3 linked regions of the Notamacropus eugenii genome follow. The protein of the gene in region 3 purifies or fractionates together with the protein of the main gene of each other region. This does not show direct contact. Links are inferred from orthologs where the notes say so. Each region holds a gene or a part of one and is shown on either strand. Other genes may lie near its edges.

Region 1 (3,743 bases), on a different chromosome or scaffold from region 3:
TTTTCAGTTTTCAAGAATCACTTCCACAAGATTTAACTTTTCTCCCCCTCCCTCCCTGAGATAGCATGCAATCTTTTATGTGCTCTACTTGCATTGCTGTGAAGGGTTAAGTGTATCGGAAACAGTCCTCACACACTGTGGCTATTACTGTGTATATAATGTTCTCCTGGTTCTGTTGAGCAGCTTTCCTTAAAGAAAACACCTGAACCTAGCCCCAGGTGATCTATCCTTATCCTTGCTACATAGCTGTTCATTTTATATATGGCATGCAGTAATCTACTTTAGACAAGATGAACTTGAGTATGATCCCTACCTTCTCACCATATAATGCTTAGAATGAAGATTAGACTTAAAACTACAGATAATGAAAATGATTTGAAAACTTTACATAAAAACTATCAAGAAAGAGAATGGGAAAAAGTAGTTCAGCTTGGTTGAGATAAGGCTAGAAAAGCAGACTATTTATTATTCAAACTTAAGGTCTTAATATTTACGGTTAGAAAGTACTTTGGAGGTCTCTTAGTCTCAATCATTTTGGAAATTATTTGGAAACTGAAGTCCAAAGTGGTGAAGCAGCTTGGTCAAAGGTGCCAAAGATAAGCAACAAGCTTGGATTAGAATACTGGTCTAATTCCTAGTCCAGGTCTATTTCCACTAGGACACACAATTGGACAAGTACACTTTTAAAAGAATTCTCTTGAAATCCTCTAACCTGTTTATCCATTCCTCCGTGGGACTTAAAAGTTACAGCAGAGCCAATTTGTTTCATATTAACTCAAATAAAAGTTATTCTTCTCCACTCCAACTTCCACACAGCTGCTAAAGTGAAATTCTTAAAATCTAGACCTGACAATGTCACTCCCTGGCTCAAAAAGCTGGGGTAGCTATTACTAGTACCCTACTATTTTTAGTCTAAAATAAAAACTCCTCCCTTTGGCACTCAAGTCCTTCACAAGCTAGCTTTCCAGATGTTACGTATTTCTCCTTTTTATTCTAGCTATACTGACCTCCTTGCTGAGACTGATGCTCTACCTCCAGACTGTCCACCTATTGATGGAATCTACAACCTCGTCACTTCCACTCTTCTTTCAGAATCTCTACTCTCCTAAATTCAAGGACCACTTCCTACAAGAAGCCTTTCTTGGTCCTTTTGATTGCTAGTGCTTACTCTCCTGGAAGTTACTTTGTATAAGTTTTATATTTAATTATATTTGCATTTGTTAATTTCCCAAACGAATACAAGCTCCCTGAAAGCTTCATTTTATTTCGGGATCCTCAGTGCCTGTGATAGTTACTAATAGGTAATTAATAAATAGGTACATAATAAATGCTTACTGACAAATCCTAAAACTATACAGCAATGCTTTTTGAAGCATACTTTTTTTTTTGCCCCTGATGGGGCAGCACAACTCCTCACTGTCCAGCTGAGAACACCGGTGGGGGGCGGGGAGGCCATGACAGGCTCAGCCGCCCAGGACACAGAGCCAAGGGGGGCCATGACAGGCTCAGTCGCCCAGGACACAGAGCCAAGGGGGGCCATGACAGGCTCAGTCGCCCAGGACACAGAGCCAAGGGGGGGCCATGACAGGCTCACAGCCCACTAGCACACCTGCCGAGATAGCCCCCGAGACGCTCCAACGCCCCAGGACACGCTCCGCGCCGGAGCGGGGCCGGGTGGCAGTTCCGTACCTGAGAGCGGCGGCCTGTCCGGTTCCTGGCCGCCCCGGCCCGGGGACGCCGGGTTCAGCAGGTGTGCGAAGCTGGCCGCGAAGGGGTTGGCAGCCAGCGGCTCGGTGCGGTACATCTCCCAGAGCAGGTAGAGCGCCGTGAGGCGCTGCGCCGCGCTGGGCAGCAGGTCCGGCTGCTGCAGCAGCATCACGAGCACCGAGCCCAGGCGGAAGTGGTCCGCCTTGCTGAAGTAATGATGGAAGGCGCTGGACAGGCCCTCGAAGGTGCTGCCGCCCCCGGCCTCCTCCGAGATGATGCCCAGCAGGCTGGAGAGCTCCTTCGGGGTCAGACTCATCCTGCCGCCGGGGCCGCCGCCGGCGCCGCCGAGCCCGGGGCCGCAAGAGGAGCCCCCGGGGCCGCCCGAGCCGGGCCCCGCCGCCGCTGCCTCCTCGCCCCCCCGCGGCTCCGAGGCGGCCAGGAGACTGCAGGGCGCCGGGCTCCCCCCGCCGCCGGGCATCAACCCCCCCGCCGCCGCCGCCTCCGGCCCCGCGCCCCGGCCCTGGCCTGGCCTAAACGCTCGGATCCGTCGCCCCCTCCGCTTCCGTCCAGCACTGCCGCCCCCACTGACGCCCAAACTCCCGCTCCCGCTGCCACGGCCGCTGCCGTCCTGCCGCCGGTCGCTGCCGTAAAGACCCGCCGTTAGACGACAGTGTCGTAAAGCATCGCTCCTACGGCTGGGAAGAGAAGAGAGACAGGCTGGAATCGAGGAGACGGAGAGGCGGAGGGGAGGAGGAGCTAGGGAGATTACGTAATGGAACGGACGTGCTCAGAGTGAGGGGATGGAACAGAGGGGATAAGGTTGGTTGGGAAGAGAGAAAGTAGGAGATGGGGCAAGGCCAGAAAGAAAAAGGCGGGGTCCTGGGAAGAGAGGGCGAAGGAGTGGGACTTAGGAAAGAATGGAGAAGGTTTGGGACCAGGGGCGGGGCCTCGGGCAGAGGCGGGGGCGAGTCGGGCCCCTTGGTATCAACGACTTCCTCCATTCCGAGGGAAGAGGAGAGCGGCTGCGCAGTTGGGTGTGCCAGTGGAGCCGCAGTTGAGCGCCCCTGTTGGCTGGAAGAATGATTTGTCATTTTTTTTCCTGTCTTACTGTTCCGTCAGCTCAGTCACGTCCAACTTTCTGTGACCCCATTTGGGGTTTTCTTGGTTTGCTATTTTCTTCTCCAGCTTATTGGAAACTGAGACAAGCAGGGCTACACAGCCAGTAAGCGTCTGAACTCTACGAGATTAGTCTTCCTGACTGCGGTGCACCACCTAGCAACTGGGGAAAATGCGTTAATTTTGAGAGAACCAGGTCCTAGCTGGAGCTAAACTCTGCCACCGGCTCACTCTTACACGCTGTTGTGAGGCTTGCGGATGGCCCTCCTTCATTAATGACAGCTGGATCCTGGAGCTTCCTACACTGGCATTGGGAGGGTTTATACCCATCTTACAGTGAAGGACGCCGAGAGCCTGAGGTCACCCTGCTCAGTGCCGACACCGTTACACAGACCTCTTGAGGCCCTGAGTTGGAGGCAAGAAATGTGACCTCAGTAAACCTCCCCACAAACCCTGTGCAGCAGGCGTTATTCCCATGTTACAAATGAGGAATCTGAATCGCAGAGAGCTTAGCTGCTTTGTCAAAGTCAGGACATTTATTACGCCCCTACTATGTGCCAAGCTCTGGAGATACAAAAAGAGGCAAAAGACTTCTGGCTGTGAGGAGCTCACAATCTAATGGGGAAAATATGCAAATAAGCCATACAGGATAAGTGGTTTGTCCTTTGTTGCAAGGGAGTTGGACTGAAGTGAGACAGGGCTGCGCAAAGTCACCAGCCCCATTCTCTCCTCCAGAGCCCTCTGGGTCCAGTGCCAAATGACTGGCGGTGGCCCCTGATGTAGTGGGAGATCTTGGCCTTTTTTAATTAAGGTCTTTCCCAGGTCTCAGTCTGTCCCAGGCAACCCCCAATCAATGTTTAAGGCTAGTGAAGAAATGAGACCAAAAATCAGCCGCTTTCACCTACTCAAAAAAAAATCAG
Region 2 (3,743 bases), about 450 Mb from region 3:
GACTTTACCTGAGGGGTGAAATGAGACAAATATAAATCATGAGAATTACATATAGTATTACTTTTAAGCGTTCACAGGGTCAACAAGCAGTCCAATGGGAAAACAGCAGATTCTGGGAAGAAACTAGCCTATAGTTCAAAGCTCCAAAAAGCACCTATTTCCCCACTACTGTTTTTGAGGCCTCCAAAGAGAAAAAAGTCACTAAAACAAACCCTTGAATTGGGTTCATGGGAATTGTTCATGTGGTCAAGTGAATGCCATGAACCACTGCATGATAAACTGATCAAGGGCAGAAAGTACTCTGAGGAGGCAGAAAGTACCACTCGGACTAGAGGGGTAAATATCAGCACATTAAGGACCTCAATGCTGCAAAGATGAGCATCTGCTGGAATTAAAGTGTAGGTAGTATTTGCTTAAATTCCATCAAGATAGGGTACAAATAATACCTGCCTTAGAAACAAAGGATTGAATCACAAATGTGAGGAACAAGAGAAATTACCTTCAGGGAAGGGTCACGATCAAACAAGGAATAAAGAGGTTAAGTGAAGATAAAACGCACAAATTGGATTACATAAATGAGAGGAAGCAATTAACTGGGGGGGTGAGAGGGAATCTGCAAAAAGCCTCATTAACAAAGGCCTTATTACCAAGCTATATAAGGAACTGATACAAATTCACAACATTAAGAACCATACTCCAACTGGTAAAGTGTCAAAAGTTATGGGCAGGCAAATCTCAAGGAATTCAAACTAAAAACTTTCCCCACATCACCAATAATTAAAATGCAAAGTAAAGCCCCTCTGAGGTTCTACCTTACATTCATCAGAGGGGCAAAATTGAAGGGTGATGGGAGAAGAGGCACAATGGACCTGTGAGTTGGTCCAGCCAAACTGGAAAACAATTCATTTAGGGTTAGTTATGCCCCGCAAATGCAAGCCCTTTGGCCCAAAGAGATCTATACTAAGCCTAGATACGATGATATAAAGAGACCTTTTTATACAAAAATGATCCAAAGTAGCTTTTCGTGGTGGCAATGCCCTAGAAGCGAGGCATGGCTGAACAAATCTATGGGACGTGAATGTAACACAATGCTACTATGCTTTAAGAAGTTAAAAATGGATTCAGAACTTAGAACTGATGCAGAGTGAAGTAGGTTGGTCGGTTGCGCCCAGGACCGAAATGACATCACTATGCCAGCGGCAAATTTCATTATATCTGACCAGACCGATACAAGCTTGGAAGGCTCCGGCACAGGTCGGGCACAAATGGCCCATGTGCACATTTGGGGTGAATTCTCTAAATCTGTGCACCATGCCTTCTTTGCTGAGAGCACAGCAGCTTCTCTGATGCGCCGCAGCCCGTTCTGGGCCAGCGTCCCCCAGGTCACACGGTGACTTGCAGAACGAAATAAACAGAACCAGACGCTATCACTTGCTTTGTAAAAGTAACGACTCTAAATCAATCACCGCTCAAGAAGGAGCTGGGCGGACAGCGAGGTGTGACCGCGGGCAGATCCACGTCATCTCTGTTAGACGGGGCAACGATGCCTCCCGGCCAGGTCCGCACGGAGGCTCAAAAGCCAGTCCCTTACCTCCTAGCATCCGGCCGGCCACTTCCAGGGTGCACAGGGGCTGCACCCCGCACTGGCCCAAGATGGCTTCATCTTCCAGCGGCGAGCCCCCTAGAAGCAGGACCTGGTCCTCGGGGGCGATGCCCTCCAGGGACGCCACATGGGCCTGGAAGACAGAGAACCACCGGGCTCGGGGCCGCCCGCGGCCTGGGAGGATCCATCCCTCCCTGCCTCCCCCCAGCGCGGCGGCCCGGCCTCGCTTACCTTGATCTGGGCGACGGCCTCCTGCCCGGTCACCTCGAGGGTGTGCAGCGCCTGCGCGCGGACGAACAGCTGCATAGCGGCGACTGTGGGGGCACAGAAGCGGGGCTGAGGCCCGGGGCGGGGGCGAGCGGCGCTCGAACGGGCACAGGCCCGGGGAGGGAAGAAGGGCTGAGGCCTGGCCGGGGAAGGGCCGGGCCGGATGACCGCCCCGCCCTGGACTCGGGGGACGCCTCGTGCCTCGGCCTCCCCGCTTCCCTGGCCTGGGGTCGCGCACTTACCTCGGACGCGCTAGTCCTGCTTCCGTCGCGGAGAAGATGGAGCCCAGAAAGAGAGGGCGGAGGCGAGCGCGCGCACGTTAGTCGCAACACGCCGTCGGCGTGATTGCGTAAGGGACGCGCACGTCCCCTTTAGCCAATCGGAGCGATCGTAAGAAGGAAGGGCGGAGGAAGTCGCGCGTTCGAGCCGGGGTTGACCCGAGGGAAAGGGAGGCAGGGCCCGGCTCCGCGTGCTTCGGCGCCTGCGCGAGGAGGGCAGTGGGCGGGGCTAGAGAGGAGGCGGAAGTCCTTACCCAGGCTGAAGGGTGCTGCGGTATGGCGGCAGCGGTGGTTGTATCGTACCTGCGTGCCGGGCTGAGGGCTGGCGGGCGGCGAGGACGCCCGGCCTGCGGACTCCGCTGGCAGGTGAACGCGGCCTCGCCTGTGTCTGGGGGGAGGGAACCCTGTCGAGCAGTCTGATCTCTAAGCGTCGTTTTCAGCCCCGAGCGTCAGAGCCTCTTCTCGGGCCCCGAGGTTCAAGTGGGGAATCTGAGGCCCTGAGAGGCCCGGGCCTGCTGACCCCTGACCCTTAGCATGTCGGCTCTGGAAAGGACCCCCGAGACCCACAAAGGCCGAGATCACGCCGGGGAACCGCGGTGCAGCCGCGCTTGAACCCTTACCGGGTCCTCTTTCCAGCACACCCGGCACGCAGTAGGCACCTAATAATTGCTGCCTGGCTGCGGCCGACTTTGGGGGTCCAGGACCCCCCCGGCCTCGGTTTCCCGCTTTGTGAAACAAGGGGCTGCCCCCTACCCAGTGTCGGGGCCCTGGGGGCGCTGCCGCGGGGTCTCGCGTGGAGTTTCCCGGGACCCACCTCGAGGGGCCAAGCCGGGAGGTGGGGGTGGGGGGGTGTGCGTCCTCGAGGCGGGCGGGCCGCGCCGCCACCCTCCGACCCTTACCCAATCACCGTAGCGATGTCAGAGGCCGAGGGACCACCCCCCATTGAGTCTGTGCCCCTGGGGCCCGGCCCAGTGCTGGGGACTCCGCCGGCCATCAGTGACATGGAGGCGCCGACCCCGAGAAAGGGGTCCTCCGAATGGCCAGATCTTCCAGGTGAGAAGCCTCGGGAGAGGAAGGTCTTCCAGGGGAGTGACGGGTAAAGAAATCTGGGGAGTCAGGAGCAGGGCCTGGAGGAGAGGCCGGTGAGGAGCTGACCCAGACTCCCCGGGGTTCCCTGCCTCCAGATGCCCTCCAGGCTGCGCAGGCTTGGTGGGTCCTTGGCCGAGTGAGCCCGGGCTAGGGAGGCCCCTGCCGGGGTCCAGGCCTGAGGCCATGAGCCTGGAGAAACTGAGCCTTCCTCTTGTTTGCTACCTCTGGTCACAACCATTAGAAAATAAGGGAGAAAACTGGGATTCATCAAAAGTCACTGAAACTAAACTGACTGGCAGTGGGGGTGGGGGGAGGCTTTTCCTTTCCAGGGACCAAGCCTGGTTCCCCCAATTATACAGCATGGTTTCTTGTGTTGTTACTCAGGTTTCTGTTCTCGTGGCATCTTCCCCTCGGCATCCTCCAAGTCTCGCACATCTTCCCTCCCTCCCTTGTTACTTGGCCACTCTAAAAGGTGGTCTGGCTATTTTGGTGCTACTGGGGCTTTC
Region 3 (3,743 bases):
GCTTGCACAGTATTGGATAGCACTGAAAAGGTGTATTTCTATAGCAATTAATAGATCTAAAATGATTTACTCAGGAAAAAATCATGATTCTGTATCACTCAATATGAAAGTACCAAACTTTAATTCATAATTACTTTGCTCATTTAAGTGCAAATACAAAATTCCTACCATAACTGGCTAAAGTTGTTACTTATCAGGTAAATTATCCCCAGTCTAACACAATTAGATTTTATTTCCAAAGGACTCTAACCTTGTATATTTTTAAACTTGCCTACAGAGAGCAAGAGTGGATAAAGAATTGTCTTTGGATGCAAGGATACCTGGATTTAAGTTCTACCTGACACAGACTAGTTGTGATCAGGAAAGTAAGCCACAACTTCTCATTGTTCCAAGTCACTAAGACTTGAAGTTACAGAGGTGACAGAGTTTGTACCAGTGTAGAGGTGGACCAAAACACAATGACAATAAGATGTGGTACTCAGTACTAGGACCTTAACTGAGATGAAATATATTATGTGAAGGATTTGAGAGGAATTTATCACTTCCTTCAAACGTCTTTCAGTTAACCCGAAAATACTCAGTTGAAAAAGACAAACATAGATTTGCTTTGCAAAACCATACTTACTAGAGCAGGAACTAAACACAAGTGTTCAATGAAAGTAAAAAATACCCACCTTACATTAAGAGGCACAGAATAAGATATTTAGGTCAGGCAAAAAAAAAAAAAAAAGAAGGCAAAAGAGTTATACTTTAAGTCTCCCAAGACCATAGTAAGGAAGCACAGTTTCAAGGCCAATGTAGAACTGCTTTTCCCTAAACTGAAGTATTTCTTCACTGTCCATTCTTCTAAATGCCGATTAGGGATACATACACTGGAAAATAAAATGCTGATTTAACCTTACAAAATGAAAAACACTCTTTAGGCATCAACTTTCAATGACAAGAAGCCTGAGTCCAAGCTGAATTATAATGTTAGAATCCAATAGGTGAAAGGTGTTAGAATATAAATCTTGCCTTTAGGACAGAAATGAGCATTTCTCCTGGGCAGAGGAATGCTTAGAACAATGTTTTCCTTTGATGTATTCAAGCTTCTTGAACATTAGTGCCTACACTCGCAAACTCCAAGCACAAAATATCACAGGGCTCCTTTTTCTTATCCCTATAAATGGATTAAAATGTCTGTGCCCCTAAAAAAATCAGATACGGTGCAAAAGGCAGGTATAAGACAGAACTTTTAGAAAAATGGCACTACAGGACAGAGCAAAAACCGTCATGTTGCCATTTCTGTTGGCAAAATTTTTACTCCAAAAAAATGAATACTTCATTCCTTCACAAAAAAAAAAAATAATCCACCCAAACCAAACATCCAAATTTCCAACCAATTCGGAAAGAGAAAGGTTGGCATTGAATGACTCCAAGCCAAGGACTGAAAAGCAAAATCCTAGCACACTCTGGGGAGCCAGGAGGGCAGGAGCTGTGTTCCTGGGTCTGACCACATGTGTCTTGGAGAGACAGATTCACTGCAGAGAGGGGTTTTGTCCTCTGCCAGATTTCATGGCATTTCTCCTGCCACGCGGGATTATCGTCCAAATGAAGGGGAATCCTATTTACGGGGAATTCGGTGCTTTTTGTTTTGCACACGTGACCGTGCTGCCTCCAGTTCTGTCACTTTAGGACGTAAACAGTGCAGAGACGCCCCAGGAGGGCCCCCTCCCCAGGGCCCGGACGGACGATGGGGGGCAGAGGCAGGCAAGCCCGTCTCTCCCCTTCCCCACCACGCGGGGACGGGCCCAAAGGAAACACCGAGACATACAGACACCCCCCCACCCCGGGTCCGGGGCCCGGCCCAAGCGGGGTTAGCCCGGAGACCCCCTCCCCTGGGGTCGCAAGCTGACCGAGGAGGCGGCTCTTCAGCGCGGCCGCGGGCTTATGGAGGGGCGGGGCATTTCCAGCAGGTCCAAGCAGCCCCCAGCCCCAATCAATCCATCAATCAATCAATCAATTAATCACTCGATCGAGGAGCCGGCGTCCAGGTTTCCCACCATTACCACCGCGGGGTCCTTGGAAACCATCTCGGGCGCGTCCGCAGATGCCCGCCCCGCGGGCAGGGTGGAGCCCGGCCCCGGCCTCCCCAACCCCCCCATCCCCACGGGCGGCGGAGCCACTCGAGGCCGGCGGAGGCCTGAGGCCTAGCGGCGGAGGCCCAGGCCGAGAGCGGAGCCTCCCCGCGCTCGCCGCCGCGGCCCCCATTGTTCCCCTCGCCCGCGGCGGCCTCCTCCTCACTCACCGCGCCGGTCCGAGCGGCAGCGCCTCTCAGCTCCGGGCCCCCGCGGCCGCCGCCGCCGCCGCCGTCACGGTCCCCGCCGCCGCCGCCGCCCCCGCCGCCGCCGCCGCCACCGCCGCCTCGGACCCGGGCCGCCGGGCCACGGCCCCCGCCGCCGCCAGCGCCGCCTCCCGGCTCCCACCTGCTGCTGCCGAGGCCGCTCCGGCAGCAGGGGCCATCTTGTTGGGCAGCCTCTTCCTGCGCCGCCGCCGCCGCCGCCTCCCCGCCGCCCGGGGTCCTGGGCGCCTTCCTCTTCCTCCTCTTCCTCCTCTTCCTCCTCTTCCTCCTCTTCCTCCTCCTCCTCTCTCCCGCGGTAGACGCCGCAGCTGCCCCTGCCCGCCGCCGCGGCTCTGGGCCGAGACCCCGCCGTGGCTCCTCCCCTTCGGAAGGGAGGAGGACGAGGAGGGGAGTGGAGGGGAAAGAGGAGGGGGGAGGGGCGGGGAGGAGAGAGCAGGGAGGGGCGGGGAGGAGGGAAGAGGGAGGGGCGGGGAGGAGGGAGGGGCGGGGGAGGTGAGAAGAGGGAGGGGCGGGGAGGAGGGAGGGGCGGGGGAGGTGAGAAGAGGGAGGGGCGGGGAGGAGGAAGGAGGGAGGGGCGGGGGAGGTGGGAGGAGGGAGGGGAGGGGAGGAGGGAGGGACGGGGGAGGAGAAAAGAGGGGAGCGGGGAGGAGGAAGAAGAGAGGGGCGGGGGAGGAGGGAGGAGGAGGGAGGGGCGGGGAGGAGGCGGGGAGGAGGCAAGAGGAGGGAGGGGTGGGAGGAGGCAAGAGGGGGGAGGGGCGGGGAGGAGGAAGGAGGGAGGGGCGGGGGAGGTGGGAGGAGGGAGGGGCGGGGAGGAGGGAGGGGCGGGGAGGAGAGAAGAGGGGAGCGGGGAGGAGGAAGGAGGGAGGGGCGGGGAGGAGGCAAGAGGAGGGAGGGGCGGGGAGGAGGTAAGAGGAGAAGATAAAGGGAGGGAGGAGGAGGAAAGACAAGGAATGGGGAGGGGAGAGAGAAAGTAGGAGGGATAGAGAGAGGGAGGAAATGAGGAGGGGAAAGAGGAGAGAGGAGTAATGGGGCAGGAAGAAAAGCAGGAAGGAGGAGGGGGAGAGGAGAGCAAGGGAAAAGGAAGGAGACGAGATAGGAGTGGGGAGGGACAAACGGAAGGGAGGAGGGAGGGAAGTGGAGAGAGTAGGGGGAGTGGAGGAGGCCTTGGGGAAGGAGAGAGAACAAAAGCACCGAGGCCCCGCGTCCGGGCAGCCGAGACCCGGTCTCCCTCGGACACACCCGAGGCCGGGCCCCCCGCCGCGACTGCCGGGACCTAAGGGTCCAGAGCCAGGTGGAAACTTGGACGCGTGTGCTGGGACTTTTAAAGCTCGCCCCAGTGGTGCCAGCCGCTCCCCCGCCGGGGTCCCGGGGCACCCCTCACCCAATTCCTCCTGGGCCCCTC

The links.
Region 1: the proteins of RC3H1 (region 3) and CNOT11 purify together in Homo sapiens (affinity purification with mass spectrometry, with the first as the bait; 4 studies listed by BioGRID). This does not show direct contact. The link is inferred for Notamacropus eugenii from reciprocal best matches to the Homo sapiens genes RC3H1 and CNOT11.
Region 2: the proteins of RC3H1 (region 3) and FAU purify together in Homo sapiens (affinity purification with mass spectrometry; 3 studies listed by BioGRID, with this or other methods). This does not show direct contact. The link is inferred for Notamacropus eugenii from reciprocal best matches to the Homo sapiens genes RC3H1 and FAU.

The regions. Positions count from the first base shown.
Region 1 is NC_092877.1:174,375,048-174,378,790, forward strand, and holds the start of CNOT11 (CCR4-NOT transcription complex subunit 11), read right to left. Parts: upstream 2,224-3,743; 5' UTR 2,186-2,223; coding exon 1,690-2,185; intron 1-1,689. UniProt on the Homo sapiens protein: Component of the CCR4-NOT complex which is one of the major cellular mRNA deadenylases and is linked to various cellular processes including bulk mRNA degradation, miRNA-mediated repression, translational repression during translational initiation and general transcription regulation.
Region 2 is NC_092873.1:17,821,188-17,824,930, forward strand, and holds the start of FAU (ubiquitin-like FUBI-ribosomal protein eS30 fusion protein), read right to left. Parts: upstream 2,345-3,743; 5' UTR 2,113-2,344; intron 1,918-2,112; 5' UTR 1,910-1,917; coding exon 1,835-1,909; intron 1,737-1,834; coding exon 1,592-1,736; intron 9-1,591; coding exon 1-8. Other genes in the region: MRPL49 (large ribosomal subunit protein mL49), read left to right, coding at 2,425-2,514.
Region 3 is NC_092873.1:472,383,310-472,387,052, reverse strand, and holds the start of RC3H1 (roquin-1), read right to left. Parts: upstream 2,708-3,743; 5' UTR 2,466-2,707; intron 2,374-2,465; exon of another isoform or gene 2,288-2,373; intron 1-2,287. UniProt on the Homo sapiens protein: Post-transcriptional repressor of mRNAs containing a conserved stem loop motif, called constitutive decay element (CDE), which is often located in the 3'-UTR, as in HMGXB3, ICOS, IER3, NFKBID, NFKBIZ, PPP1R10, TNF, TNFRSF4 and in many more mRNAs.